Xenopus tropicalis: one gene and its partners. The protein of the gene in region 1 binds, or shares a complex with, the protein of each later gene. Links are inferred from orthologs where the notes say so. Each region holds a gene or a part of one and is shown in the gene's direction. Other genes may lie near its edges.

Evidence for each region.
Region 2: rnf113a (region 1) and rbm22 share a complex: the UniProt entries of both Homo sapiens proteins name them as parts of the pre-catalytic and catalytic spliceosome complex. The link is inferred for Xenopus tropicalis from reciprocal best matches to the Homo sapiens genes RNF113A and RBM22.
Region 3: rnf113a (region 1) and bcas2 share a complex: the UniProt entries of both Homo sapiens proteins name them as parts of the pre-catalytic and catalytic spliceosome complex. The link is inferred for Xenopus tropicalis from reciprocal best matches to the Homo sapiens genes RNF113A and BCAS2.
Region 4: rnf113a (region 1) and rbm48 share a complex: the UniProt entries of both Homo sapiens proteins name them as parts of the minor spliceosome. The link is inferred for Xenopus tropicalis from reciprocal best matches to the Homo sapiens genes RNF113A and RBM48.
Region 5: rnf113a (region 1) and cript share a complex: the UniProt entries of both Homo sapiens proteins name them as parts of the minor spliceosome. The link is inferred for Xenopus tropicalis from reciprocal best matches to the Homo sapiens genes RNF113A and CRIPT.
Region 6: rnf113a (region 1) and snrpg share a complex: the UniProt entries of both Homo sapiens proteins name them as parts of the minor spliceosome. The link is inferred for Xenopus tropicalis from reciprocal best matches to the Homo sapiens genes RNF113A and SNRPG.
Region 7: rnf113a (region 1) and snrpf share a complex: the UniProt entries of both Homo sapiens proteins name them as parts of the minor spliceosome. The link is inferred for Xenopus tropicalis from reciprocal best matches to the Homo sapiens genes RNF113A and SNRPF.

The regions. Positions count from the first base shown.
Region 1 is NC_030677.2:156,458,542-156,462,495, forward strand, and holds the start of rnf113a (RING finger protein 113A), read left to right. Parts: upstream 1-1,154; 5' UTR 1,155-1,172; coding exon 1,173-1,263; intron 1,264-2,141; coding exon 2,142-2,215; intron 2,216-2,542; coding exon 2,543-2,650; intron 2,651-2,891; coding exon 2,892-2,999; intron 3,000-3,533; coding exon 3,534-3,643; intron 3,644-3,767; coding exon 3,768-3,874; intron 3,875-3,954. Other genes in the region: noc4l (nucleolar complex protein 4 homolog), read right to left, coding at 910-1,056. UniProt on the Homo sapiens protein: Required for pre-mRNA splicing as component of the spliceosome. As a component of the minor spliceosome, involved in the splicing of U12-type introns in pre-mRNAs. E3 ubiquitin-protein ligase that catalyzes the transfer of ubiquitin onto target proteins.
Region 2 is NC_030682.2:89,081,480-89,084,901, reverse strand, and holds the end of rbm22 (pre-mRNA-splicing factor RBM22), read left to right. Parts: intron 1-1,992; coding exon 1,993-2,118; intron 2,119-2,546; coding exon 2,547-2,674; 3' UTR 2,675-2,922; downstream 2,923-3,422. UniProt on the Homo sapiens protein: Required for pre-mRNA splicing as component of the activated spliceosome. Involved in the first step of pre-mRNA splicing.
Region 3 is NC_030682.2:7,012,579-7,016,377, forward strand, and holds the end of bcas2 (pre-mRNA-splicing factor SPF27), read left to right. Parts: intron 1-938; coding exon 939-1,031; intron 1,032-1,491; coding exon 1,492-1,562; intron 1,563-1,695; coding exon 1,696-1,857; intron 1,858-1,980; coding exon 1,981-2,031; intron 2,032-2,296; coding exon 2,297-2,377; intron 2,378-2,889; coding exon 2,890-3,010; 3' UTR 3,011-3,299; downstream 3,300-3,799. UniProt on the Homo sapiens protein: Required for pre-mRNA splicing as component of the activated spliceosome. Component of the PRP19-CDC5L complex that forms an integral part of the spliceosome and is required for activating pre-mRNA splicing.
Region 4 is NC_030682.2:31,762,945-31,766,942, reverse strand, and holds the start of rbm48 (RNA-binding protein 48), read left to right. Parts: upstream 1-1,198; 5' UTR 1,199-1,313; coding exon 1,314-1,424; intron 1,425-3,998. Other genes in the region: pex1 (peroxisome biogenesis factor 1), read right to left, coding at 861-971. UniProt on the Homo sapiens protein: As a component of the minor spliceosome, involved in the splicing of U12-type introns in pre-mRNAs.
Region 5 is NC_030681.2:19,972,044-19,976,237, forward strand, and holds the start of cript (cysteine-rich PDZ-binding protein), read left to right. Parts: upstream 1-1,394; 5' UTR 1,395-1,396; coding exon 1,397-1,412; intron 1,413-2,496; coding exon 2,497-2,562; intron 2,563-4,093; coding exon 4,094-4,148; intron 4,149-4,194. UniProt on the Homo sapiens protein: As a component of the minor spliceosome, involved in the splicing of U12-type introns in pre-mRNAs. Involved in the cytoskeletal anchoring of DLG4 in excitatory synapses.
Region 6 is NC_030679.2:122,085,895-122,090,180, reverse strand, and holds the start of snrpg (small nuclear ribonucleoprotein G), read left to right. Parts: upstream 1-1,486; 5' UTR 1,487-1,513; coding exon 1,514-1,545; intron 1,546-2,159; coding exon 2,160-2,182; intron 2,183-2,990; coding exon 2,991-3,115; intron 3,116-4,286. Other genes in the region: protein FAM136A, read right to left, coding at 1,002-1,088. UniProt on the Homo sapiens protein: Plays a role in pre-mRNA splicing as a core component of the spliceosomal U1, U2, U4 and U5 small nuclear ribonucleoproteins (snRNPs), the building blocks of the spliceosome.
Region 7 is NC_030679.2:57,034,490-57,038,748, forward strand, and holds the start of snrpf (small nuclear ribonucleoprotein F), read left to right. Parts: upstream 1-1,459; 5' UTR 1,460-1,587; coding exon 1,588-1,590; intron 1,591-2,459; coding exon 2,460-2,585; intron 2,586-3,580; coding exon 3,581-3,645; intron 3,646-4,259. UniProt on the Homo sapiens protein: Plays a role in pre-mRNA splicing as a core component of the spliceosomal U1, U2, U4 and U5 small nuclear ribonucleoproteins (snRNPs), the building blocks of the spliceosome.

The DNA.
Region 1 (3,954 bases):
GCTCTCAGGAGTACATAGACTGTGATTACTATGGGGAGGAATATACAAGCTGTTACAGACCAAACAATAATCACAAGGGAACAGTTCCTGTGTGACTGATTCTATACCGTAATATAGGAGAACTGAAACTCGCAAACACATTTGTTGTTCTGTTTATGGAGGGGGTGAAAATGTGTGGTAATCGGAAAAGTGAGAGTCAGAAGGTTGCGGGGGATAAAGGGGAAAGTTAGGAAAAGTGTGAGATCAAAACAGAAGGTCCTGAATGAAAGGGCAGCGGAGGTAATAGGGAAAGCAAATGAGAAAAGACAAGAGGTTAGAAAGAATCTTTCATGGAATTGTCGTTGCTACTAGAATTTTCCTCTCCCATTACCCACAACTATGTATTCATGCCATTCTGTTTTCCCTGCACCACCCAGTGCTGATTCTGACTGCCAACAATTCGGCCTGATGTACCAGCAGTTCCACTCTTTTCAGACCTGAGCATTCAATCTTAGCTCTGCCCACCGCTGTCACGCCTTGCCCACCTGGCCCTGTCTGTAGGCTGCAGTCTTTTCTAAATAAATATTCAGACAGGATCTTTCTTGCTGATTAATAATAACATCAATTATACGTTGAGTAGGCTGGTAACCTTAGCAATCTGATATGTTACCCTCGCTAAAAGCTCTCTCTCTCTGCAAAAATGTAATTTTTCACATTTCCTTTTTTCCCTAATGGCCATCTCCCATCTGTCTTTTTCTATCACTGGTTGCCGAGCCCTGTTATAAGAACTTTAAAATACTTCCAGTCACACTGTTTAGACGTGCATACTGTCACACAAAATGTTGTGTTTCTGTTTCGTGCAAAAGATGTTCTTCTTTGTCAGGGCTGCTGTTATACTGTTTGCTAGCACACTGCAAAGCGGGCACTCACCTCCAGATGTTCCAGAATATCAAACACCGCGTTGGCATTGGTTCTACTTCCCAGTACTGCTGCGAGTTTGCTATCCAAATCGTGGCGCTCGGCATCACTTTGCTTGGCAAAGCTCGAACTCACACGTTTCGCTTTGCGCGCTGCCATCTTGCTACTGGAGCAACGCGACTTCCCCCCGGTAATGCGCCTGCGTGCGCTTTCTAAACAGGAAGTGGCCTCAGCCAATGCGCGCAATCTGGAGCTAGTCTGGCGTCACAGGAATAATGGCGGACTCTAACGCACCAGTTTGCAGTTTCGTGTTTAAAAAAAGTGCCCGAAAGTTCGCGGGACGGAAACGCAAAGAATCGGACAATGGTGAGACAAGGAGAAAGTGGGAGTGCAAATAAATGTTTATTATAATATAGTATTATAGGCATTACACGCTTACCGTGTATAAAATTCAGCAAAGTGTTGGGATGGAGTAAATGAGTTAAATGCAGAAGAGAGCGCAGATACAACTAATTGCGCAAGTGTTGTTGCTGTTAGCAACCAATAAGGTTTTTGCTTTTATTTTCAAACGTGTATATTGGCCAACTATTCGACTTTGTTCCTTACTCAAAACCACTATCTTAAAGGAGATGCAGGTGAGGGTGGCTGTATTGTTTGCTGGATATAATTACCATTAGAAATCAGTAGCATGTACCAGGGAATTAAGGTCCAAATGACAAAACAAAAATCAAACCCATCAAAGTATTTGCAAAACATTAACAACAACAAATATAATTATACATACAGCCTCATTTACTGTTCATTGGTACAGGTATGGGACCTGTTATCCAGAATGCTCAGGGCCTGGGGTTTTCCTGATAAGGGGTCTTTCTGTAATTTGGATCTCCATAACTTTAGTTTGTTAAAAATCATTTAAATATTGAATAGGATTGTTTTGTCTCCAATAAGGATTAATTATATCTTAGTTGGGAATCAAGTACAAGATACTGTTTTATTATTACAGAGAAAAAGGAAATCATTTCTAAAAATGTGAATTATTTGATTAAAATGGAGACTATAGGAGATCCGTAATTTGGAACTTTCTGGATACAGGTTTCCGGATAAGGGATCCCATACCTTTATGTCACTGGGCTCACATGCATTTGGTGTCTTAAATTTATCGAATTTCAGAATAGTACTTAGATGCATCTGTTGTATAAGTGTGTTGTACTATTCTGATCAGTCCTTTACTGATTTGTTTGCAGAGAGCAGCGAGGAAGAGAAAGGTCCAGTGATAAGGAGGATAAAGAAGGATGTGGTTAATCCCATGATTCAGAAGGTTAGAGTCACAGGTATTCACTATGTCACCCTGAGGCCCCAGGAGCATTAAGGAGCTTTATAAAATTTTCTGCCAGTTAATCTTTCAGAGTGGGCAGCAACACTTCTCCCAGATATTTCCTGTAGACCTCTCTGTTTAGAGATATAGATACCACATCATCTTCTCCTGGCAGCTAATGGCTGAATGGAAGCACAACACATGCCATAACCCTCTCCAGCCTGTCACCCTGTGTGCAGGACAGACGTTAACATGCCACAGAAGGGATGTGTGTAGTGTTTGTCCTCTTGAGCTTTCTGGTAGTTGTATTTACCTCTGTGTGTGATTTAGAGCAGGCAGCAACCAAAGGACTGTGAAGATTACAAAGCAAGCAGCAGTGAAGATGAGGACAAAACAGCGAAGTCTATCACTGTGTCTTATAAATCTACCCGATCTGCGGTAAGAGACTCTTTTGGAATTGGCTTATTCTTAGCACAGGCTTTATGTCATAAATGTTAAAATCTTTGAAACCCATCATCAGTTAGTTCTTTGTGATATTTTATTCAGTTTGTGAATCAGCCTATGCTGTCTGTCTTGTTTCAATATAAATGATGCATTGAAAAAAAATCTGTATTTATAGAATGACATGTCTAAGACACCCCCCATTTCTTACTATGTATGCATTCTTTGTTTCTTGCAGAAACCAGTAGGGCCAGATGACATGGGAGCCACAGCTACATATGAACTAGACACTGAAAAAGACAAGGATGCTCAGGCAATTTTTGAGAGGAGCCAGAAAGTACAGGAAGTGAGTATTTAGTATGTGATGCAGTGGATTATATATTCACCTTAAACTATGAGAGAACCACTAAAGCAGAGAACCCCAACCTTTCTTACTCATGAGCCACAATCAAATGTAAAAAGACTTGGAGAGCAACACAAGTGCCATAAAAGTTTGTGGAGGTGCCAAATAAGATAGGTAGCCTCTATGCACACCATCAGCTTACGAGGCTTTATTTGTTAGCAAATCTTGTTTTTATTCAACCTAAACTTGCCACCAAGTCAAGAATTCAAAAATGAGCACCTGCTTTGGGGGCAGTGAGAGCAACATCCAAGGGGTTGGTGAGCAACATGTTGCCCCCGAGCCAATGGTTGGGGATCACTAAGGAATGCAATAAGTGTTAGTAAAGCATGCAGTGTTCTGCATGACTTACATGCAGTTTCTTTAAAAATTCTGTGCTTTTTTTCTCTTCACTTTACTTTCTTTAATATTGTAATACTCTCCTTTTCATAGATGACACTCTGTTTAGTTCCCACTATTTATTTTGCTTTAATCTGACAGGAGTTGAAGGGGAAGGAAGATGACAAGATCTATCGAGGAATCCACAACTACCAGAAGTTTGTGAAACCCAAAGATACCTCTATGGGCAATGCATCCTCTGGCATGGTTAGGTACGTGTACCCCTCCCACTTTCCATTCTGTTTTAATTTAGAAACATTTCACTTTTCAATCAACTGGGTGATTAAATCCTAATAGTTTAGTCTGCATTGATAACTTTAACTTTTATCATTTTAGGAAAGGACCAATACGTGCCCCAGAGCACCTCAGAGCCACAGTACGTTGGGATTACCAGCCAGATATTTGCAAAGATTACAAGGAGACTGGGTTCTGTGGGTTTGGAGGTCAGTTGCTGGATTGTGTTGTACCCCTTTCCATTAAATGTCTGTTGTTCCTTTGGCCCTTTTTGCCCATATTTTATTCT
Region 2 (3,422 bases), on another chromosome or scaffold:
GGGCAGATGTTGTTCATGGTTCTCAACACACCTGTAGGTTGAAAACATTTTTCATGTAGAAGAAAGCTGGTTGTTGCTGCCAATAAATGTTATTTTAAGGCTCTGGTCAAAAAGATATAATTTTTAAATGTTTTTTTCTTTATAATGTTATTGGACATGTACAGCCTTGTGTATTGCCCAACAATAGCAATGCCTTATAATTTTAATTATAATCTTAATAAGGTCACTTTTCCAAGGAATAAGGGGGAAGACACACAGACTACTAGTAGCAGCTACTTGTCATGACTAATGCTGATAATTTACTAATATTTGTCTCTACATTTGTTTTAGCAAAGGCAATTCTCAATATTGTCTATGGCAGGGTATTTTCTGGAGTAGTCTTCACCCTAAAAATCATTGCCTGTTGCTTACCCTTAAGTTCTGTGACACAGTCAGTTTGGAAGCCTAACAGTTCCCAACTGTGCTGACATAAGTAGCTTAATTTAAACTTTGTGGGTTCCATTGCTGTAAGAGCTGAAGAGGTTTAATAGGATTGTCCAGTTTTCCAAGCAAAATGTTGATAAACTGGTTGGCCAACTTAAGTCCACATTACCAGTCAAGCAAATAGCTGCCCAAGCCTGTGTTGACTGCATACATACATTTTTAACTATAATTTAATAGATACCTGAAGCGCCTAGGCAGTATCGCTGATATAGTCTGGCACTGTAATTTTTGCAAACACATGTAGTAATTTTAACGTTAACAGTGGCATTTTCAAGTTCATAAAGATTGTTATAAAATACATAGTAAGTTAGGTTGAAAAAAGACATCCATCCATCAAGTTCAACCTTAATGCCTATATATAACCTGCTTAACAGATTGATCCAGAGGAAGGCAAAAAAAAAAAAAAACCCCATCTGAAGCCTCTCTAATTTGCCGCAGAGGGGGGAAAAATTCCTTCCTGACTCCAAAATGGGAATCATATCGGTCCCTGGATCAACTTGTACTAAGAGCTATCTCCCATAAACCCTGTATTCCCTCACTTGCTAAAAAGCCATCCAACCCCTTCTTGAAGCTATATAATGTATCAGCCAGTACGACTGGTTTTCTGAATATTTAAACAGAACCTCCTTTCTTCTAAACTGAGTGGGTGCCCTCATGTCAGTTGTAAGCACCTACTGGTAAATAAAGCATTAGAGAGGTTATTATATGATCCCCTTATATATTTATACATAGTTATCATACCACCCCTTAAAGGACATGTAAACCCCACACACACAAAATTTAATCAGTGAACAGCCTCTTTGAAATCTTTAAATAACTGCCATACTGGTTGTCCAGAGGTTAATAGTAAGGCTGCAACATCTCCTTAATCACTTAGATTTCCTTCTCCTCCTGTAACCCACTCAGCCCCCTCCCTTAGGAATTTGCTTTGGCTGTTGGCTTGTGGGCATGCTCAGTTGTTCTAAGCTCAGATTACTAAACACGCCCCCCAGTCTAGCAGCCAGTAAAGAGATGGCATTGCTGGTTCCCATAGAAACTCAGCTTTAGCTGTCTGCTTCAATTTGTTTCTCCTGAGCTTAGCTTTTACAGTGCAAAACAAAGCAAAACTTCTATCAGAGACAGTTGTGCCTGTGTGAGCCTGTATTCTTGATGAAATGTATGCTGAATAAGGGTCTGTGTGTGTGTATGCTGTTTGCAGATTTAAATGTATCTGATTACGTAGCAGAGGAAAAATGGCCACCGGGTGAAAGCTGCTATTTGCTTTAGGAAAATGTGATGGTGCTGGCATACGGAGGGGATATATGCAGTACAAATGATGCAATTTGGGAGACCTGCCTAACTGATATATATTGTAGGCAAATGTAGGCTTTACATGTCCTTTAAGCGCCTCTTCTCCAGTGTAAACAAATATAACTTGGCCAGCCTTTCTTCATAAGTGAGACTTTCCAAATTGAATCATGAATTAAAAGTATCAGCCTGTTTAATAAAACATTTCTGTTCTATCTCCAGCCCTGCCACCTCCACCAACAGAAGAAGAATCTTCAGCTAATTACTTTAACCTGCCTCCTAATGGGTCAGCAGCTCTAGTGAACATTTCTCTTCCACCTCCACCTGGATTAAGTGGGCCACCTCCAGGTAATGTTTGTTACAAGCTTCCATGTAAAGGCACTTTTTACATACTGAGAGTATTCAGAATCCTACATTAGCTCAGGAGCAATATAACTGTATCCTTAGTATTTTTGCATTGTGTTTTGGACATTTTCTCTACTAGTTGTACTCTGTTGCTTAATTAAAACACACATTTATAGCAGATTTCATTACAATTAATGTATTATTAATAATATTGCCCTACACCAACCTCTGTAGTAGCAGACTGTGTGTATATTGATTTTTTTTATCTTTTGGAAAAGATAGCATATTTCCATTTATTTGTTCATAGGGTAGAATAAATAGTATGCTGACTGAAAGATGTGTTTTTAATATAAAATGTGTGTTACAGTGGCTATTTGTACTCAAGTCACAGTTCTCTGGTGGTGTGCAACTGTTTATCTTGTGTTTTTTAGGATATGGCCCACACATGTTCCCACCCATGGCACCTCCACCATTCCTTCGTGCTCCTGGACATATCCACTATCCATCACAAGACCCTCAACGAATGGGAGCACATGCAGGAAAACCTAGCAGTGGTTAACATTTTGGTAACGGTGAAGCTAATGAAACTGTATGATGGCTAACGTGACCTGTATGGTCAAGGACACTTGCATTTAATGTTCAGGAAACAAAATGGGTATTCACAGCACCATTTGTATCAATGTACCACAGATTGTTCTGGTACAAGGAAAATACTGACCTGCCATGGTGGAAGCACCTTTTAAAGACAAAGTTAAAGGATTCAAGATCCATGACTGTCCTAAGGGAAATAAACATTTTTACCTTCTTGATGGTTGAATTTCATTTTTTTTCTTTTTATAAAACTGTTATTCATATTTGTATTGTGAAAAAAGCATTTTAGCTAAATGATGCAGTTGCTTAATATTTTTAGCCATCACTCTCTTGTTTTTCAGTAGCGGTTTTGTGGCCATGTTTGAATCAAGTTTTTATATATATATGGTTTTTTTTTTTAAACTTCTTAGTTGATGCGCCCTAATATATTGTTCCTGTGGTGGGGTACTACCTTGTCTGCCTTCCATTCTTTGTAACCAATTGGTGAGAGAAACTTGTAGAACGGTTCACACAGTAAGTTTTTGGCATGCTCCCACATTTTGCCTACCTAGGGTTTATGTGCTGCTATTACAAAAGCAGTCATGGTCAGCTTGTCTGTAAAATGACTGGGCTAGTGTTAGGGGAAGAAATGTTGCATCAGAAGTGACTCTGGCACACTTCTACATATTTGCTGCCTAAGTGTTTACAGATAAGTAATGGACTCTCCCTTAAGCTGG
Region 3 (3,799 bases), on another chromosome or scaffold:
GCCCCTGTGTGTCACATGACTCCCATTGGGGGCATTTCTACTGTAAATAACCGGTCTGTGCTGCCCCTGTGTGTCACATGACTCCCATTGGGGGCATTTCTACTGTAAATACCCGGTCTGTGTTGCCCCTGTGTGTCACATGACTCCCATTGGGGGCATTTCTACTGTAAATACCCGGTCTGTGCTGCCCCTGTGTGTCACATGACTCCCATTGGGGGCATTTCTACTGTAAATAACCGGTCTGTGCTGCCCCTGTGTGTCACATGACTCCCATTGGGGGCATTTCTACTGTAAATACCCGGTCAGTGCTGCCCCTGTGTGTCACATGACTCCCATTGGGGGCATTTCTACTGTAAATACCCGGTCAATGCTGCCCCTGTGTGTCACATGACTCCCATTGGGGGCATTTCTACTGTAAATAACCGGTCTGTGTTGCCCCTGTGTGTCACATGACTCCCATTGGGGGCATTTCTACTGTAAATAACCGGTCAGTGCGGCCCCTGTGTGTCACATGACTCCCATTGGGGGCATTTCTACTGTAAATACCCGGTCAGTGCTGCCCCTGTGTGTCACATGACTCCCATTGGGGGCATTTCTACTGTAAATACCCGGTCTGTGCTGCCCCTGTGTGTCACATGACTCCCATTGGGGGCATTTCTACTGTAAATAACCGGTCAGTGCTGCCCCTGTGTGTCACATGACTCCCATTGGGGGCATTTCTACTGTAAATACCCGGTCAGTGCTGCCCCTGTGTGTCACATGACTCCCATTGGGGGCATTTCTACTGTAAATACCCGGTCTGTGTTGCCCCTGTGTGTCACATGACTCCCATTGGGGGCATTTCTACTGTAAATACCCGGTCTGTGCTGCCCCTGTGTGTCACATGACTCCCATTGGGGGCATTTCTACTGTAAATAACCGGTCTGTGTTGCTCTCAGGCTGCAGCTTTGGTGGAAGAGGAGACCAGAAGATATCGGCCTACAAAGAACTACCTGAGTTACTTGCCCACCCCCGACTATTCCGCATTTGAGGTAATGGCTTTCTCCCTATTCTGCAGCACCCTACACTGGGTGCCCCTCTGCTCTATTCACGGTGGTTGCACATTGGCCAACCAAATGGCTTCCCTGCTAGAGAACTCACCCTGGCAACTAAGAACCTATTGCTCTGTGAGGCTTCAATTTTATTGTTACTGTTACTTTTTATCCAGCCCCTCCCCTATACTCATTCACACCACTGTCTGGTTGCTAGGGTAAATTTGACCCTAGCAACTTGATATCTCTGCAAAATATTAATACTTCATTATTCATTCTGCTACTACTCGTCCTTATGTCTGTCAGTTCTCCAAAGATTGCTTTCATAGTCCCATAACCCCGAGGGGTTTGCATGCACAGAGCCCACCCTGGCACCTACTGGTGCTAATATCACGTGGGTGGGGGGCATGTTCCCTTCACAGAGGAGACCAAGATTCCAACTTTCATTCATTTTATTTAGACTGAAATCATGAGGAACGAGTTTGAAAGACTTTCGTCGCGCCAGCCCCTCGAACTGCTCAGCATGAAGAGGTGAGTGCCGTCTGGTTACTATGGGTTACTGGACCAAGATCTGTGCATTGCTTTACAGCCCTGTGGTTTCCATGTGGTCTCATTGTGCTGAAGGGTATCCGTGGAAATACCATACCCCTCTCTCTGATTCTAGGTATGAGTTACCGGCCCCCCTATCCGGCCAGAGGAACGACATCACCGCGTGGCAGGAATGTGTCAATAACTCCATGGCCCAATTGGAACACCAGGCCGTCCGTATAGAGAACCTGGAGCTCATGTCCCAGCACGGCTGTAACGCCTGGAAAGTCTATAACGAGTGAGTTGGGAACATGGCGTTGGGGGGGGGGGGGGGGGGGGGTGTTGATTTACAGCACAGGATATAGCATGACCCAATGATACTGCCGCCCTTCAGTCACGTGATTCTTCTGTCTCCTCCCAGGAACCTGCTGCATATGATCGACTGCGCGCAGAAAGATCTCCAGAAGTTACGGTGAGACGGCATTAAGCCCATACTAACCATATATATATATATATATATATATATATATATATATAATCCTTCCCTGGCCGTGGGGAAGAGAGCAGCCCAGAAGCAGGAAGTGCAGAGATTTAGAGCTCAGTTCCTGTGTAATTACTGGGATGAGCTTCGAGTTACCTACGTGGGGTAGTTCCTAGCCCTGGGGTATTACTAGCAGTTGCACACTTCCATTTTAACAGCTCTAACGCTTTCACTATTTGTCTTGTTACCGGAACAGGAAAAAGATTCAGGACTTGAACTGGCAGAGAAAGAACTCCCAGCTGACAGCAGGTGCCCGACTCAGAGAGATGGAGTCAACGTAAGTGAGATTTGTGCATTTTGTTCACACCTAGGGTGAACTTATCAAGGGAATACCTACTCCCCTATACTGTATTTCCATGAATGAAGTACACACAGGCTTTGAGTGTGCCTAGCGGGCTGTTCCTGCTGAACAGGGGAATCCCTATGCTGCCATAGTTTTATGGTATCTCTCTGTACAGGCTATGAGCAAACTTAGGGGGCTGTTCCTGCTGAATTGTGCTTAGTACAGGGGAATCCCTATGTGCCATAGTTTTATGGTATCTCTCTGTACAGGCTATTAGCAAACTTAGGGGGCTGTTCCTGCTGAATTGTGCTTAGTACAGGGGAATCCCTATGTGCCATAGTTTTATGGTATCTCTCTGTACAGGCTATGAGCAAACTTAGGGGGCTGTTCCTGCTGAATTGTGCTTAGTACAGTGTATGGTATTTATGGGATGCTAATATTTTAGCTTTAATAGAACTGGTAGTCATTTTCGTCTGTCTCTAACTTGCTTTCTGTGCCGGTTGCAGGTGGGTGTCTCTTGTGAGCAAAAACTACGAGATTGAGAGAGCAATTGTGCAAATGGAGAATGAAGTCTATCAGCTGAAAGAGAGGAGCGGGGAGAATAAGGAAAATATTGAAGATTATTAAGGCCCTGCCCCAAGGATTACAGGTTCCAGGGTAACAGCACCGGTCCTGCTGCAGAGACTCTGGCGCCATGTTGGGCAGCGCTGCTGGGGGTTCTGGTTGCTTTATGGCTCTTCACTCTGGAAATGTAGCGAGTAGTCTCTGCCTGGGTGCTGATAGGCGCAGGGATGGGTCTCCCTGTTTCACCCAAATGCCCCAGTGCTGCCTCGTAGGCCGGGCACATACCGGCTTTTATAAGGAAATTCTGACTTGTTTTTCACTGTAATATTAATAATAAAGTGTTTTCCAGAAATCTTCCACTTTTATCATCCTGTGCGCTCCTGGGGGTCTGTACTGAGCACCCCACACAACCGTAACCCTGGCCTGGGTGGGGGCACACCATTATATATTAGATAGCACCCCCGTCTCTGCACAAGTGCCTGATCTCACCAGAGGGAAATAGGTATGTTCTGAGCTGGGACGGATTTCCCACATGGGCAGCTTCGACAGATAACGGGTCATGTGTGTAACAGTGAGAGGAAATCAGCGTAAAAACCAATGAACTGTCTTCTATAGGCCATAGAGATACAGTGGGAAAGCCTGGCATTGCCCTTCCTCCTGGGTCTCATCTGTTTTTACAATGTTAATATCATGAAGGTGTAACAGGAGCGCCCCCTGCTGTTCTGTGCAGGCGGAGACACAAGCAGCACTGAGCCCAGAGACACTTCCAGCATCAGCAAATGAAACTTTTCCCCTATCTGTCTGGCTCTGACTTGGTGTGAATACTGCAAATAGCATGGAAACTAAAGAAGT
Region 4 (3,998 bases), on another chromosome or scaffold:
CCCAGAGGCTATTATCCCACTGCTACTATAGGCACCATCTCTCCCTACTATACCTGCTATCCCACAGCCACAGTCCCTTCCCAGAGGCTATTATCCCACTGCTACTATAGGCACCATCTCTCCCTACTATACCTGCTATCCCATAGCCACAGTCCCTTCCCAGAGGCTATTATCCCCCCACTGCTACTATAGGCACCATCTCTCCCTACTATACCTGCTATCCCACAGCCCCAGTCCCTTCCCAGAGGCTATTATCCCCCACTGCTACTATAGGCACCATCTCTCCCTACTATACCTGCTATCCCACAGCCACAGTCCCTTCCCAGAGGCTATTATCCCACTGCTACTATAGGCACCATCTCTCCCTACTATACCTGCTATCCCACAGCCACAGTCCCTTCCCAGAGGCTATTATCCCACTGCTACTATAGGCACCATCTCTCCCTACTATACCTGCTATCCCATAGCCACAGTCCCTTCCCAGAGGCTATTATCCCCCCACTGCTACTATAGGCACCATCTCTCCCTACTATACCTGCTATCCCACAGCCCCAGTCCCTTCCCAGAGGCTATTATCCCCCCACTGCTACTATAGGCACCATCTCTCCCTACTATACCTGCTATCCCACAGCCCCAGTCCCTTCCCAGAGGCTATTATCCCAGTTGATATTATTAATCCTTTTCTGACACCTACACAAATACACCTCATGTCATGTTACTAAACTCCCTCCTGCTTTCCATGTAGAATCACCTGAGAATCCCAAAGCCCTGGTTAGTGCCCGGACAGGGCCATTACAGGCATCATATTAAAATAAACAAGTGCTGCCCATCACGGACAGACGGGCCCCGGTTAGAGTTACCTGCTCCAGGCGTAATTGTGCGAGCACCTCAGGTGTCACACGCAAAAATGTGTCCTTAGCACTTGTGAGTTTCAGGGACACAGCAGCCCCGGGCGGTCCCGGACCTAGCATCCTACTGTGGCGTACCCACAGCAACCCCCTTCACTCCAGCGCTGTGTATGACGAACGTGCAAGTAACAGAACTTCCATCGCTAACGTTATCAGCTCCTTCATGCCTACTGGGTAACTTCCGCGCTGTTTCACCTTTGACAATCGAGGAAATCCCACTCACCCTGTGTCTGCTGACGTATAGTACCTCCCGCCCAATCAGAGAATGGCGTGCTCTAATGACGCCTGTGTGCGGGGCAGTCCTTCCGCCTATTGGTTCTGCTGCCTTTCCGCCTATTGGTTCTGTGTCCCGGCCTGTGTTTGGTACAGGGAGAGAGGGAACTATTTCTTAGACAGCAGAAGCCGATGGCAGAAAGCGCAGCAGTGCAAGTGCAGGCCTACGCACACCATGAGCAGCGAAAGATATGCGCCTCACGGGCCAAGTACCGCGAAGGACGGAGGCCCAGAGCAGTCAAAGTGCGTGAAACATTTACAGTTTTTGTTTTGGTTTTTATACGTCCACACAACTAGTATTCCAGCGTATTCTTGCGGTGGGACTGAGCGCCAGTGCCGCTCTAGCAGGTTTCCCTTCGTAGAAATTGCTCCCTAGAGTTATCACTGAGTTACAGCTTCCATAAGAATGTTAGCTCTTCTATATTCATGTGGTTTTAATTGGGCACTGTGTGGGAACTGGTAATGATTTCTGTTTCTACATAGGAGCATATTGTTCCACTGAAGGAAAAAATGCTGCCTTTTTATCTGCACCCACTGATAGGGGAATAGTGTGGGAGAGGGATTAGAGTTCTAGTTCACCATTTGGAGGCAGTAGGTTTCATTATAAACTATGGGCTATTTCCCATGATTGTAATTATAGATGTCACAGACCCAGTGGCTGCAACTGATAAGGCTAAATATATGTTTATGAATAAAAAGATAATTTTGTGGTTGGGCCCAGTGGTCTCTAGTTACACCAGCAGTCATGTATACTGCAAGCCAGTGGGGTACCACAACAATTTCAATTTAGGGCCCAAAAAATATTTGTATGTTAACCTATTCTACCAAGATACATTGACATTTCTCATCAATTAGGGTCTTATTGGGCCACTTCCATTCCTGGGCCACTTCCATTCCTGGGCCACTTCCATTCCTGGGCCCCCTTCCAACTGCAGGGTCTGCCCTAGCACACACTCCAGTTTCCCTTTCCTTGCCCTGTAACATTACATCATTTCACTCTGCACACATTCTCATACAACCAGCACACTTAACATGTCTGCATATAAAAAAAACACACACAAACTGATACTATTTTCTTTTAATTTCATAAAGAAGAGTATAATGCACTCAGTTACTGGGTTCACGTTAAACTGAGGGGTATATTTAAAAAAAAAAAAAAAGTTTAAATTTGACGCTTACCAAGATTGACTTGTAAGGGTCTGTTTTAAGCTTTCCATATCATGTGACAAATGTAAGATGCTGATGTGCATTTAAATTTTAAATGTTTGAGAAATAAAAAAAATTATATTTTGACCAAAAACTGAAAATGTGCCTCATCTCAGTTTTGTGCCTGTAGCCCTCGGCTATTGCACCCAGTCAGATTTATTCATATAATGCCAGAGATTCTCAGCTGGATTGAGGTCAGGCCTGTGACAGAGCCATTTGATCACTGGGATCACTGTTCTACTGAAAGATTAATGTTTATTTTTTAGCAGCCTGGAACAGGCTTTTTTTTGGTGATATTTCACTGTATTTTGCCCCATGCCTTGAAAACAATATTCCCAGTTGCTGCGTTAATTATATAACACACAAATCTGTGGTACTAATGAAGAATCAGGCTTTTGCGCAGAGAAATCTTTAGTTTAGGACTTTAAAAACTGTTGATTCCTTGCTGAATACTTGGACAGATAACCATTTGCTTTATACAGTATGGCAAACATGGCATATACAAACAGTTGTATCACTCTGGCTTGATTAAGCCATTTTACAGATGATGCAAATAGAAAAACTTTAACGTATGTTCAAGCCAAAGAAAAGTATCCAGTGCTTTCTAGCAAGTTACTGGCTTTCCTTCAAAAGCGATACCAGTAAAATTATATAGCCATCCTCCCGCCAAGAGAGCTATATCACTGGGCTTTAAACTATTATATAAGCAGAAATGAGTTGCTGGAAAGCTGCACACCATAAGAGCAAGTTAATACCTGGGTGCCAGTGCTGAAAGCGTAGATACACAGGGTTGGAATGACAGCACACGCAGGATGTTTTTCAAGAAGAATCACAGAGGTTTAGATAAATAAATGTGAGGCTTTATTCAGTCCGACGTTTCAGTTCCTATCTGGAACTTTCATCAGGGACAGTAACATCACAGTGCAGTACAAACCTTTTTAAGCACAAAAGGGCCCTAAACCTCTGTGATTCTTCTTGAAAAACATCCTGCGTGTGCTGTCATTCCAACCCTGTCTATTATATAAGCAGATAGTCTATACTTCTTCCACCAAGGGACACAACAAATGGCTTCTGAAATTTTCTCAATTACAAATGTCTCAAGGCCTTACAGTATGCAAATAAATGTCTTCCAATGGGATCATATAAAGAAATGCATCTAAAATTCTTTTTATTGAGCCTACTACTCGCCAAAAGTCAGTCCCAAATAGGACTCTCTGGAGGCAGATTTATTTAATTGTTTCTGGACATGTCCTCATAGTAAAAAGTTTTGGGTATCAATAACTTGTTATGCCATTGATAACTTGCTAGACTATGTTCCTATGTTACCAAAATGGATTATGTTCCTATGTTACCAAAATTGACAATGTTTGGTATCCCTACCAAATACTAGACTTATTGGGGGAGTAGAAAAGTACTGTTTATCATATCTGCAGCTGCTCGTAAATATATGCTACAAGTGTGGATAGAGAAACAACCCCGTCACTGTCTTTTTTTAAAAGTAAATTTTATATATTCACCTATTATTTCACCTGTTTCACATGGATTGGCTAGAAGTCTCCCTCCAAAAAGAAAAACACACGAGATGAAGAAAGAAACAAATGGCAATCAGTT
Region 5 (4,194 bases), on another chromosome or scaffold:
CACAGAATGGGCAATCTCCCCTAACTGGCCTTCAGGCTGGGCTGCCCTGTGTATGTAGCCACAGAATGGGCAATCTCCCCTAACTGGCCTTCAGGCTGGGCTGTGTATGTAGCCACAGAATGGGCAATCTCCCCTAACTGGCCTGCAGGCTGGGCTGCCCTGTGTATGTAGCCACAGAATGGGCAATCTCCCCTAACTGGCCTTCAGGCTGGGCTGTGTATGTAGCCACAGAATGGGCAATCTCCCCTAACTGGCCTTCAGGCTGGGCTGTGTATGTAGCCACAGAATGGGCAATCTCCCCTAACTGGCCTTCAGGCTGGGCTGTGTATGTAGCCACAGAATGGGCAATCTCCCCTGACTGGCCTTCAGGCTGGGCTGCCCTGTGTATGTAGCCACAGAATGGGCAATCTCCCCTAACTGGCCTTCAGGCTGGGCTGTGTATGTAGCCACAGAATGGGCAATCTCCCCTAACTGGCCTTCAGGCTGGGCTGTGTATGTAGCCACAGAATGGGCAATCTCCCCTAACTGGCCTTCAGGCTGGGCTGTGTATGTAGCCACAGAATGGGCAATCTCCCCTAACTGGCCTTCAGGCTGGGCTGCCCTGTGTATGTAGCCACAGAATGGGCAATCTCCCCTAACTGGCCTTCAGGCTGGGCTGTGTATGTAGCCACAGAATGGGCAATCTCCCCTAACTGGCCTTCAGGCTGGCCTGTGTATGTAGCCACAGAATGGGCAATCTCCCCTAACTGGCCTTCAGGCTGCCCTGTGTATGTAGCCACAGAATGGGCAATCTCCCCTAACTGGCCTTCAGGCTGCCCTGTGTATGTAGCCACAGAATGGGCAATCTCCCCTAACTGGCCTTCAGGCTGGGCTGTGTATGTAGCCACAGAATGGGCAATCTCCCCTAACTGGCCCTTCAGGCTGGGCTGTGTATGTAATGGGCAATCTCCCCTAACTGGCCTTCAGGCTGAACACCCCATGTTGCTAATTGTCTTTACTACAACTCCCATCACTCCCCCTAGGAGCTTATGCAAACACACCAATGGAAGGAAGCAGCTGTAGCTCAACAGCACCAAAACTCCCACAGACTGAGCTATATATATATATATATATATATATAAGGGTAGAAGGGAAGTCCCGCTGTGTCTCCCAATACTCACCTGTGCGCTCATTGACCCTGCACCACTTCTGGTTCTGGTTCCTCCTCCCTCACCTGAAAAGGAGCAGAAGCTGTGTTTGATAGACAGTCACATAAGCCAATCAGGCGGCGGCTTCCGCCAACTGACGTTGACGTTCCGGAGCGGTTTCCATTGGTGGTGACGAGATCCGGAAGTGACGTTCCTAAGGAACTTTGTTGACAAGAGCCGTGTGATTGTTGGTGTGACCGGAGTGGGACATGGTGTGCGATAAGTGTAAGTAACAAACCGGGTTTAATCTCGCTGGGTGTATTTCCTGGTACCGGGCAGCTCCCATAGAGCCGTGTTATGTGGGTAACGCTTACACCTGCCATTGGATACATTTGCCGAGCAGCTGTAAACCATGGCGTCCTGTTTATATTATCCTTCACATTCGTCTGCGCAACTGGCTGAGCAAAGCCAATGGCTGGTTGGTTGCTAGGGGTGCCTACTGTTAGTAATAAATAAAGCAGACATAGCTGTAGCTCTGGTTTATCCGCTGTTCGCAATACGTAGTAATATACTTACTGTGCTGCCGGCTATTACTATTCTCCCTGACTGTATTGCTCATTGTCACTATATATTCTGATTATCTCATTGACGTTTTTGGATACCTGTATGGGAGAATGTAATTACTGTTGTTTTTAAAGGGATAATGTCATGACTTATGTGGTATACTTTTTATTTCTAAATTACACTGTTTACATAGCAAATAATTCACTCTGCCATTTAAAATGTTATTCTTGAACCAACAAATGTATTTGTAGCTGTAATATTGGTGTGTAGGCGCCATCTCAGTGCCTTGTGCCTGAGTCTGAGCTTTCAGCCAGCGCTACACATTAGAACTGCTTTCAGCTAACCTATTGTTTCTCCTACTCCCATGTAACTGGAGGAGTCCCAAGCCGGACTTGGATTTCTTACTATTGAGTGCTATTCTGATACCTACTGGGAGCTGCTATCTTGCTCCCTTCCCATTGTTCTGCTGATCGGCTGCTGGGAGGGGGCGGGGGATATCACTCCAACTTGCAGCGCAGCAGTAAATTGTGATTGAAGTTTATCAGAGCACAGGTTACATGGCTGTGGCACCCTGGGAAATGAAGAATATGGCTAGCCCCATGTGAAATTTCAAAATTAAATATAAAAAAAATCTGTTTGTATATTTGAAAAACAGATTACAATGCAGGATTCTGCTGCAGAAGCTCTATTAACTGATGGGTTTTGAAAAAAACGTGTTTTCCCATGACAGTATTCCTTTAAGGACGTAGATAGGGATATGTGTGTGCAGGAGCAGCATTAACTAATGACGTGTATTTAATGACAGGTGAGAAGAAACTGGGCACAGTTATCACTCCAGACACATGGAAATCCGGTGCCAGGAATACCACTGGTAAGTTGTGGTGCCATTTAATCGGATTTGCATTATTGTGTATCAATCCACTAGCACTTCTTGCTCTTCCCAGTCTTTCAGAGGCAGAACTTTGATCCTATTATAAAGGCCAGATATTGTTTATATAAAGGCAGACTTTAATATTTATTTTTTTTGTAAAATATATGGTGACATTTAAGGGCTGAACCTGTTGTGCTGTGTTATTAAAGGCTTCAAAGTGTGCCTCTGCCACCTATGCAGCTTCCCTTAATAAGTACACAAGCAAAACATTTGTACACTAAAGGCTTATATGAATAAACTCATTGGTTAAAGGAGAAGGAAAGGTAAAAACTAAGTAAACTTTATCAGAAAGGTCTATGTAAATACAGTCATAAGCACTCACAGAAACGCTGCACTGAGTCCTCTGTCAAAAGAAACACAGGATTTCTTGTCTACTTTTTTGTAAACATGTTCTTAGGGTATCTGACTTTCTCTCTCAGAAAAATCCTTCATTCCTGTGACCAGAGTCAGTGCAGCTCTCTCCTCTCTCCTGCTCCCCCCTCCCATAAGAATTCATAAGACTCACTCCCCCCTCCCTTAGGAATGTGTAATCTGAGCTATAACGCTAGACTGCAAACAGGAAGCTATGGAGACCAAGCTAAAATGGCAGCTGCAATCTTAAAAAGAGAAAGCTTCTAGGGCTCTTTACTCAAGTATGGCAATGCTTTCTGCAGAATAAATATAGTGTTCTAGGTGGCACTAATGTGGCAAACCTATTGGCAGTTAAATGCCAAAATGACTTCTTCTCCTTTAATGCCTCCATGAAGTGCCACCAGTTATTATCTTTAGCCATTTTTTAACAATCTCTTTACCTGAAATGTTATCGCTGCATGTATCTAGCTAATATTAGCAGAGTAATGCAATTAAAAGCATTAACTGATATTTTTATTGCCTATTGTAAATTGATGATAAGCTATTTTTTTCTAAATAAATATGGTATAAAATACACTTTTTTGCTTGAAAAACAGTCGGTTTAGTTTATTCAGTGACTGGCTTACCCAAAGGAGGCTGTTTGAAGCCATGGCCACTTCCAGAGTCTTCCCTCCCTCCTCCAGAACTGCACCACCAGGGACCCCTAAAACTGCTCTGTTTGGTCTACCTGGTTAAGGCTTATTTTCAACTGGGGTGGCGGACTTTCATTTTTTGATGAATTGTTCCATTCACACGTAAGCCTTCTTTAGTGAATATGCCACTGTTTGTTTATTTTAATAGGCAGTATTTTTTTGTCTTGTTTTGGCACAACAGTCCCTGTCAGAATTAATGTTTGCTCAAGTAAAAGAAAAAATCCAAAATATTTCATTTGTTTGCCTATGGCCCCTAAGTCCTGGAGCTGGTAACCTCTCTATAGTATTATGTACAATGTTTCAAATGGGGGACTTGATGGGAGGCTTATATTTCTAATTTATTTAATTAAACAAACACATTTGGCTTCTGTGGGAAAGGATTATTACAGTATTCTTCTGGTTATTGATTTTTCTCTCTCTTTACACAGAAAGTGGAGGCAGAAAACTAAATGAGAACAAGGCACTGACATCAAAGACTGCAAGGTGAGTACTAATCACACAGTGTCTCCTTTTCAACTTGAGTTCAGTG
Region 6 (4,286 bases), on another chromosome or scaffold:
TAAACAATTTCAACATTAAAATATATGTATATAGGGATGCACCAAATTCACTATTTTCAGATTTGGCCGAACCCTGGATCCTTTGTTAAAGATTTGACCGAATTCCAAACCAAATTTGTACATACAAATTAAGGCAAGTAAGGGTTAAAGAGAACCCCACGCAGAGTGTGACAAAAAGACAGGTGTTTTTAAAAATTCGGATTTGGTTCGGCCAGGACCTTGGATTAGACTTAATCCTGCACCGAATCCCGGATTCAGTGCATGCCCTTGGTGTGTTTGTGTGCTACAATAGCAGGAGGCCCTTAATATATAAAATGGCAATTTTCTATGTAGGATTACCCAATAGCACGTGCTACTAAAAGAAGTATATTTTCATGCAATTTATTTAGAAGATGCAGGGTTTTACATCTGAGCTGTTTATGCAATATATTTTTATAGAGACCTACATTGTCTGGGGTATAGATTTCCTTTGCTAAGAGGCTTGGGCCACACTGTGGCTTTCAAACATAAGTTTTACTCATTTGAACTTTTTGCCCCAGTTTCTTTTTCCCCCAGTTTCTTTTTGCCCCAGTTTCTTTTTCCCCCAGTTTCTTTTTCCCCCAGTTTCTTTTTGCCCCAGTTTCTTTTTGCCCCAGTTTCTTTTTGCCCTACCCATTTCTGATGAAGTTTGCAGCAACAGTACTTGCGGTTTAATGGTAAGGAACAGAAACCTGAACAGAAAGATAAGTCCCTGTGCTAAGCAAATGTAGCAGGAAAACTAGTATGTTATATTAAAGGACAAGTAAAACCTGGTATATAAGGCATCCCACAGCCATTAGTCCTGTACATTAAAAATGACCAATTCCTATTGGACCCCCAGGCATTTGTGCCCCTTCCATTCAAGTGCATGGGAGTGCTACCCCAGGGGGACTTTGAATGGCAGCAGAGTATAATAAAAGAAGTAATGGAAGATGGGCTGTAACGCCCTATGACATAAGACTAATTACACCAGACTATGGTACCTGCATTTTCCTAATGTTGTCCCTTTCCAAGCTCTTCACCATAGTGTCTATCGCATTTTGAAGCCGGTTCTGCTGTTCCTCTGCCATGTCTGACAAGCGTGTGCTCCAAGGGCAACGCACCTCTCTTCCGCCCTTACACATACCCTTCCGGTTACGGCTTGCCCTTACTCTAACTCTACGGCATCTACGTTGTTTTGCGGCAGACATCTAAGCTGACCGACTAGCTTCCATAGCCCCAAGTTTTTGTTAAATTCTTCTATAACCAATCAGGGAAAACGTATATATGTAATCAAATTTGCAATATTTCTTATATACTTTAATATTTGATACACAATGTTATATTTAGCCCAACTAAAGCCGGCTAACGCGTCTCCTTTGTATTCTTTGGTGGTCGTCATAGCGACCGTGGGGGTGGGCGGGGAAGCGCATACACGTAAGACGTGCTTACGTCACATTAAGGCGACTGCGTTACTTGGCGGCAGCGACCGGGGCTTTGTACACGAGGAACGAAAATGAGCAAAGCGCACCCGCCCGAGCTGAAGAAGTAAGGAACGGCCCGGGGGGGGGCAGTGAGGGGCAGAGCGGAGGGGGCAAGTGAGGGGCAGAGCGGAGGGGGCAAGTGAGGGGCAGAGCGGAGGGGGCAAGTGAGGGGCAGAGCGGAGGGGGCAGTGAGGGGCAGAGCGGAGGGCAAGTGAGGGGCAGAGCGGAGGGGCGGCTTAGGCTGTAGCCGGGGAACATACACCCAAACCTGCAGCCTCCATTGCGCTGTTTCATGTTGAATGGCCCGTTTTGGAGCATGGAGGCTGCAACCACATCATTCACACAGAAAGAAATGGGGATCTTTTCGATTCCCACATATCTTCCAATTATATTTTGTGGTCAAACTGATTGATTGCCCATATATTGCAATATACTCCAAGCTGGCCAACTACATCAGTCGCAGTCATAGGATTCATTAAGGATTCTAGTATTTCATAATGTGCACATGGATCTCTGGGAAGAGTGAAGTAGCTCTTATGCCTGATACTAACCCTATAAGGGAACTGCATTGGCTTCTCTTGGGTCCCTAGTCTAGTGATCTGAGCACAGGTGATTAGGTCTTGTTGAGTTATTATTATAATATAATGTATTTAAATGTTGTGTACTTTTTACTTTTAGGTTCATGGACAAGAAACTGTCTTGTAAGTATTGAAAAATTTTCCATCTACTTGTAAAAAGAAAAAAAAATAAAGGAAAACTATACCCCCCAAACAATGTAGGTCTCTATAAAAATGTTTCATAAACAAGCTCATATGTAAAACTAAATTAATCTAAATAAACCATTTTCTTAAAAATATTATTTTTTTAGTAGTATGTGCTATCGGGTGGTACTAAATAGGAAATTGCCATTTTATGAATTAAGGGCCACCCCCTGGGATCATAGGATTCACAGTGCACACAAACAAGCCAAGACACACATACATGTTAGGCCCCATCAGCCAATGAATGGGCAGAGTTCTGCCTTTTGCTCCCACACTACTCCCTGTTACAGTCAGAGCTGCATTATTTCCTGTCAGCTGATCTCTGAGGGAGCACACAGCCCATCACTAAATGGTGGCTCAAGGGAAAGGATGTAAAAGGGCAATATTTACTAATATATATTCCAGTTTGACAATATTCTTTAATAGGCCACTTAACAAAATATAAACTATCTGTTGGTTAAGTATTCGTTCTGGGGGTATAGTTTTCTTTTAAAAAATAAAAATATATATGATGAGGTCTGTGCTCGGACCTTATTCAGGTGCTTGGCCAAATAACAGTGTTATTTAGAATAAGAAGCAGCAGAGAGATGGTGCAATGAAGGATTTATTCAGGATACAGGACTGCTGTTCCTCACTCTATATAAATATATGCAGTTATAAGGGAACTGTACCAGGTGACTCCCCAAACCAGTAAACCACCAAAACCTTGAAGCATCTGATCAAATTTCCTTTCTTTTCTTTCTTTCAGTGAAGTTAAATGGTGGGAGACATGTCCAGGGGATTCTGCGTGGCTTTGATCCCTTCATGAACCTTGTAATAGATGAGTGCACAGAGATATCAGGGGGTGGCCACCAAAACACCATTGGAATGGTGGTAAGTGTTAGACTGAGCTGCAACATATATTGTATGGTCCCTTACTGTGTGTGTAATTTAGGGTGGCCGTTCATGGTCAGATTTTCCAATTTTTAAACTAACATTTGAGGACAACGCAACGCAAAATATAATTTTTTGCCTAATAAAAGAAAACAGAATTCTCAGCTTTGCAATATACATTTATTACAAATTTGTAATGGTTTTTGAGTTATTTGTATATATAATTGCTATTAGAAGCAGTGTTTGTCTGTCCTTTTCTATTCTCTGCCCTGGTGGCTCTGGCATTTGAAACAATGTAACACAAGGCAGCCAACTGACAGACCTGACTTGGGGAAGGAGACTGACTTTTGCAACATTGTTTAAAAAGTAACCACCAGGAGTTCGGCAAATGCTGCTTTCAATAGCAATTACATTTACAAATGGCATTTAATCATACAATGTTATCCACAGAGAAGTAGCACGTTAAAGATGTCGTCATTTTGTTGCCAAAAGGTAAAGTAATATTGTGCATCTACAATGCTATATCAGCTTGTGGCGGAAGCAGTATAAACAGGAAGTGATGTATTTTTCATCAATTTTTATCGATATTGGTATGCTATTTGCTATTACAACAAGTGAACGAATGAGTTCTGCTTGTTTGTAATGTGGCTGGTTGCCTTGGCTTGCTGGTATTGCAGCAAGGTATTCTTTTGCCTGTATTTATATTTACCAACAGCATGCACATGACTTTTCATAGTGTTTATGTGGTTAAAATGTAGGGTTGGCAACAAACATTTGGGTCTTGTCATATGCGTTCGTTGACTTCTGCAGGTACTGCCAATATATGCACAGAAAGCGACTGTTCAACGACAACTTTCACACCAACTCTTATCGTTGCCCAACTGATATTTTTAAGAATGTTGGGCCAATTAGTAAATTCTTACATCTAGAATTGTTTGTACACTACCAGCTATACAGTTTGTCCTGAAATCAGTCGTGAGACTACAAAATCTGAGCATGTATGGCTGCATTTAGTGGAATATGGTCAGATTATTAGCAGCTAATATTGCAAAGTGTATTGGCTTCTGTGAAGTTCAGATTAAATAATGACTAATCGGCTGAGCAGCTTTAGTACTTTAAAGATGGCCAGTTTAAAGAGAGGGATCTAGCCCATGTTTTCTGGGTAGGATGA
Region 7 (4,259 bases), on another chromosome or scaffold:
ATACACATTTCCTCCCATACACAGTAGCCCCCCATACAGTATCCTCCCATACACAGTAGCCCCCCATACACAGTAGCCCCCAATTGCCCCCATGGAGAGTACCCCCAATAGAAAATGTCCCCATACACAGTAGCCCCCAATTGCCCCATAGAGAGTACCCCCAATAGAAAATTGCCCCCATAGAGAGTACCCCCAATTGCTCCCATAGAGAGTACCCCCAATAGAAAACACCCCCCATACACAGTAGCCCCCAATTGCCCCCATAGAGAGTACCTCCAATAGAAAATGCCCCCCATACACAGTGCCCCCCATTGACGCTGCTTCTTGTGGCTCCTGCTCCTTATGCGGCTCCTTCTACGGCGGCGACAGGACCTTTTATAAGGTTGCGCCCCGTGCGTACGTGTGACATCACACGTACGCATGGGCGCAACCTTATAAAAGGGCCTGTCGCCGCCGTACGAGGAGCCGAATAAGAAGCAGGAGCCACAGGACGAGACGGAGCCGGAGTGCTGGCTGCAGTCAGCGCATCCCGCTGGCCTGGATAGTTTAATGAATGTTCTGCATTTCCGTAATGCGGGACATTCATTGAACAATCCGGGACAGCGGGATGCGCTGTAAAAACCGGGACTGTCCTGCGAAAAGCGGGACAGTTGGGGGGTATGCAACCCACTTAGGGTCACAGTGTAATGCAACCCCTCTCTCACTTTTTCTTTCTTTGTAAAAAGCGCACAGATTCTGGTATAAAGGGGGACAGCTTGCATTACATTGGGAGACAAATGTGCTAAAGAGCACAGAGAAAACTATCATGGTTTTCTTTCTACCTGTGGAATCAGGTACTCCTGGGTGATATCACTCCAACTTGCAGCGCAGCAGTAAAGTGTGACTGAAGTTTATCAGTCACATGGCTGTAGCACCCTGGGATATGAAGAATATGGCTAGCCCCATGTGAACTTTTAAAATTAAATATAAAAAAAAACCTGTTGAAGTTCTATTAACCGATGCATTTTGAAAAAAAACCTTTTCTCATGACAGTATTCCTTTACCCATTCTAATTTTACCCTCCAAGTGCCACCAAGTCCTCGGAAAATCAAGGCTTCTAAATCTGGACTGTTGTGCATAATAGTGAATATAATTACATAGCGTTAACAAATAATCAAAACAAGGTACGAAATACAAATAGACGGGACGCAATGTTTGTATTTGTTGTAATTGCAGTCAGCGCAGTATAGCAACTTGCATTTATTAGAAATGCCTAATTGCGGTTCCTGGGGGAAGGCCCTGTAGTACTAGTAGTACTGAGGCGGCCCGGAGTCAGCACAGAGGGTGAGCCTTGTACAATACAACACCATTGTGAAATAATCCCGCCTCCACTGGCGATTGTTGGAGTCATGTTGGAAATCCAACTCCAGCCACTAGAGGGAGCAGTTAGCCATTCAACGCGTGTCGGCTCTCTATGGTCTTTTCTCCTGTCGCTTCCGGGCCTTGGCAGCCATTTCCCGCTTTGCTCCAGCGGTGTGTTCTACGGGACGCTCCGGGGAGGAATTTTTTTTATTGATCTGCAGTTTGTTGTGAGGCTGCGGTCGCACCATGGTAAGTACTGGAGGTGTGCGAGTTCCAGGCCTGGCGGGACAGGGGGTGTCAGTGTGTAGGGATGGGGGGGAGTGCAGGCAGCATGGTGTGTGGGGCTGTTCATTATCCCGAGTAGCAGCTTATCCCGCCGGATTTACAGAATGGGTTATGCAGTTGGTTCGGGTTTGTTTGGTTGCTTTATTGTTAGGCCTGTGTGGAAAGGCGTAACGTGTTATCTTTGCAGCGTGTGTACTCGCTAAGGGCACGTTGCACGGAAAGAGCCTGTATGTAAGGCGCGGTGTAGGCTGCGCTGAAATATAAGTAGCCATGCAGCGTGGGATGGTACTATCTCTACTGGGGATGAGCCGCGAACATGGGATGTTTGCGTCTGTTCTTAAAGCGGTGGCACATGGGAGTTGATAATTTCCTAAAGGCCATGTGTTCCTCTGCCTATCATATCTCAAGTGGTAATGCTACAAATGGCATGTTATACTGTTTGTACTGTGACTGCCCTCAGCCAGCAGTGATGTGCAGCCTTGTGGCCCTCCAGCTATTGAACTGCACTTTCAACTATCAGGAAGAATAAATAAATGCCCCTTTTTCATTTTACTGTGGTAGTGTAATAATATATAGCCTCCTACCAAAGAAAGGATGATTTCTATTAGATATGGATTTGTGGTTGTTGTTGCTGGCCGTGCCCCAAGTATCATTATTAGGCAGGTGTCCCCTTTTGGTTTCTTGGAAGGGAGCATGAGAAAACTGAGGACAAATAAAGGCAGAGATATAGTATTGAAAATGTATGCATATGATTACTTCAGGTTATTGCATGAGTTGACGTTTTAATCACAAGACCTATTGAATATTTATATTATAAATGATTATATTTTCAGAGTTTACCACTGAATCCAAAACCCTTCCTTAATGGCCTCACTGGTAAGCCAGTTATGGTAAAGCTGAAATGGGGGATGGAGTACAAAGGCTACTTGGTATCAGTGGATGGATACATGAACATGCAGGTAAGTAATAGCACTGAACATGTCAGATATTATAGTTGGTTACTTGCTGTTATAAGTTAATTTATTAGATTATTTAATAAAAAAAAATATATATTGTATGCATGTGTATATATAATTTATATTATATTCCCTTTATATTGTGCCAGAATTGTATCTGGGCTTTCCTGTTGCCATTTTAGAGCAGTGTATGAGACATTTGGATTGGATTGCCTCTGTCTCTAGTTAACACTAGGAAATTGCACAAGTAAAATGGTTTTGGGCATCAGCAGCCCATTGCTGGCAATGAAATACATTAAAGGAACAGTAACACCAAAAAATTAAAGTGTAAAAAACTAACTAAAATATAATGTGCTGCTGCCCTGCACTGGTAAAAGTTGTGTGTTTACTTCAGAAAGTCTTCTATAATTTATATAAATAAGCTGCTGTGTAGCCATGGGGGCAGCCATTCAAAGGAGAAAAGGCACAGGCACATAGCAGATAACAGATAAAACACTATTGTACTCTACAGAACTTATCTGTTATCTGCTATGTAACCTGTGCCTTTTCTCCTTTTTTCCAGCTTGAATGGCTGCCCCCGTGGCTACACAGCAGCTTATTATATAAATTATAGTAGTGTTACTGTAGCAAACACACCAATTTTACCAGTGCAGGGCAACAGTGCATTATATTTTCATTACTTTAAAGCTCTTTTATTTTTTGGTGTTACTGTTCCTTTAAGTGCTGCTTAAGGTTGCATGCAATTAGCTGGAGTGCTTGCCAGAGTGTTGTGACACTTTATAGTACCATTGCTAACCCTAGTAGCATTAGCACCAATTAGCCAGCTTAATTGCTTTTAAAACATAAGTAACAATTAATATTAATATTTCTGTATTGCAGAGTTTTTTTTTTTTATAGTAATGATGGTTGAGAAAGTAATGAGTGTCCATTATCCAAGGTTGCTGTGATGTGTGAGAAGCTTTTTCTGTTGGTTAATTCATTTATATATATTATTGCAGCTTGCAAACACAGAAGAATATATTGATGGTGCATTGTCTGGACATCTTGGAGAAGTTTTGATAAGGTAAGAATTGTGCACTGGGGATGCTTTGTAGGTGGTCACATTACAGCATATATGTCTGCTTTTCTGAAATAGAAAGCAAACTCTTGTCAGCATGTTAAGGCAACTGCATGTGCCATATAGATTGTAAGCTCTACGGGGCAGGGACCTCCATCCTCTTGTGTCTTTGACTCTTAACTTATTGCAACTGTAACTGTATCTTGTATGTATTTGTATTTATTGTTATACTTTGTATTTATCTATTATCTTATTAACCCCCTATTTGTATTAATGTATTCTACTGTACAGCGCTGTGTACATAAGTAGCGCTTTATAAATAAAAATATATATACATACATGTGAACCAGTGAAAAATGTAAAGTATATTCTGTAAAAAAAAAAAATGTACTTTTTAAATAGTTTCTTATCTAAACTGTGTAATTTAACAATTATTTAAAAAGGCAACAAATTGTCCTTTTAAATATTCTCTTTAAAGCACAACCTCCAAGGAGGCGTGAGTAGATTGCCCTTTTTTTTCTTGATAACTACCTAGTAGCAAGAATTGTATCCCTTCTCTAGAAAAACAATGTGACTGCTACCTTTTCTCTGCTAAACTGTTTAACTATTGTATTCCTTTT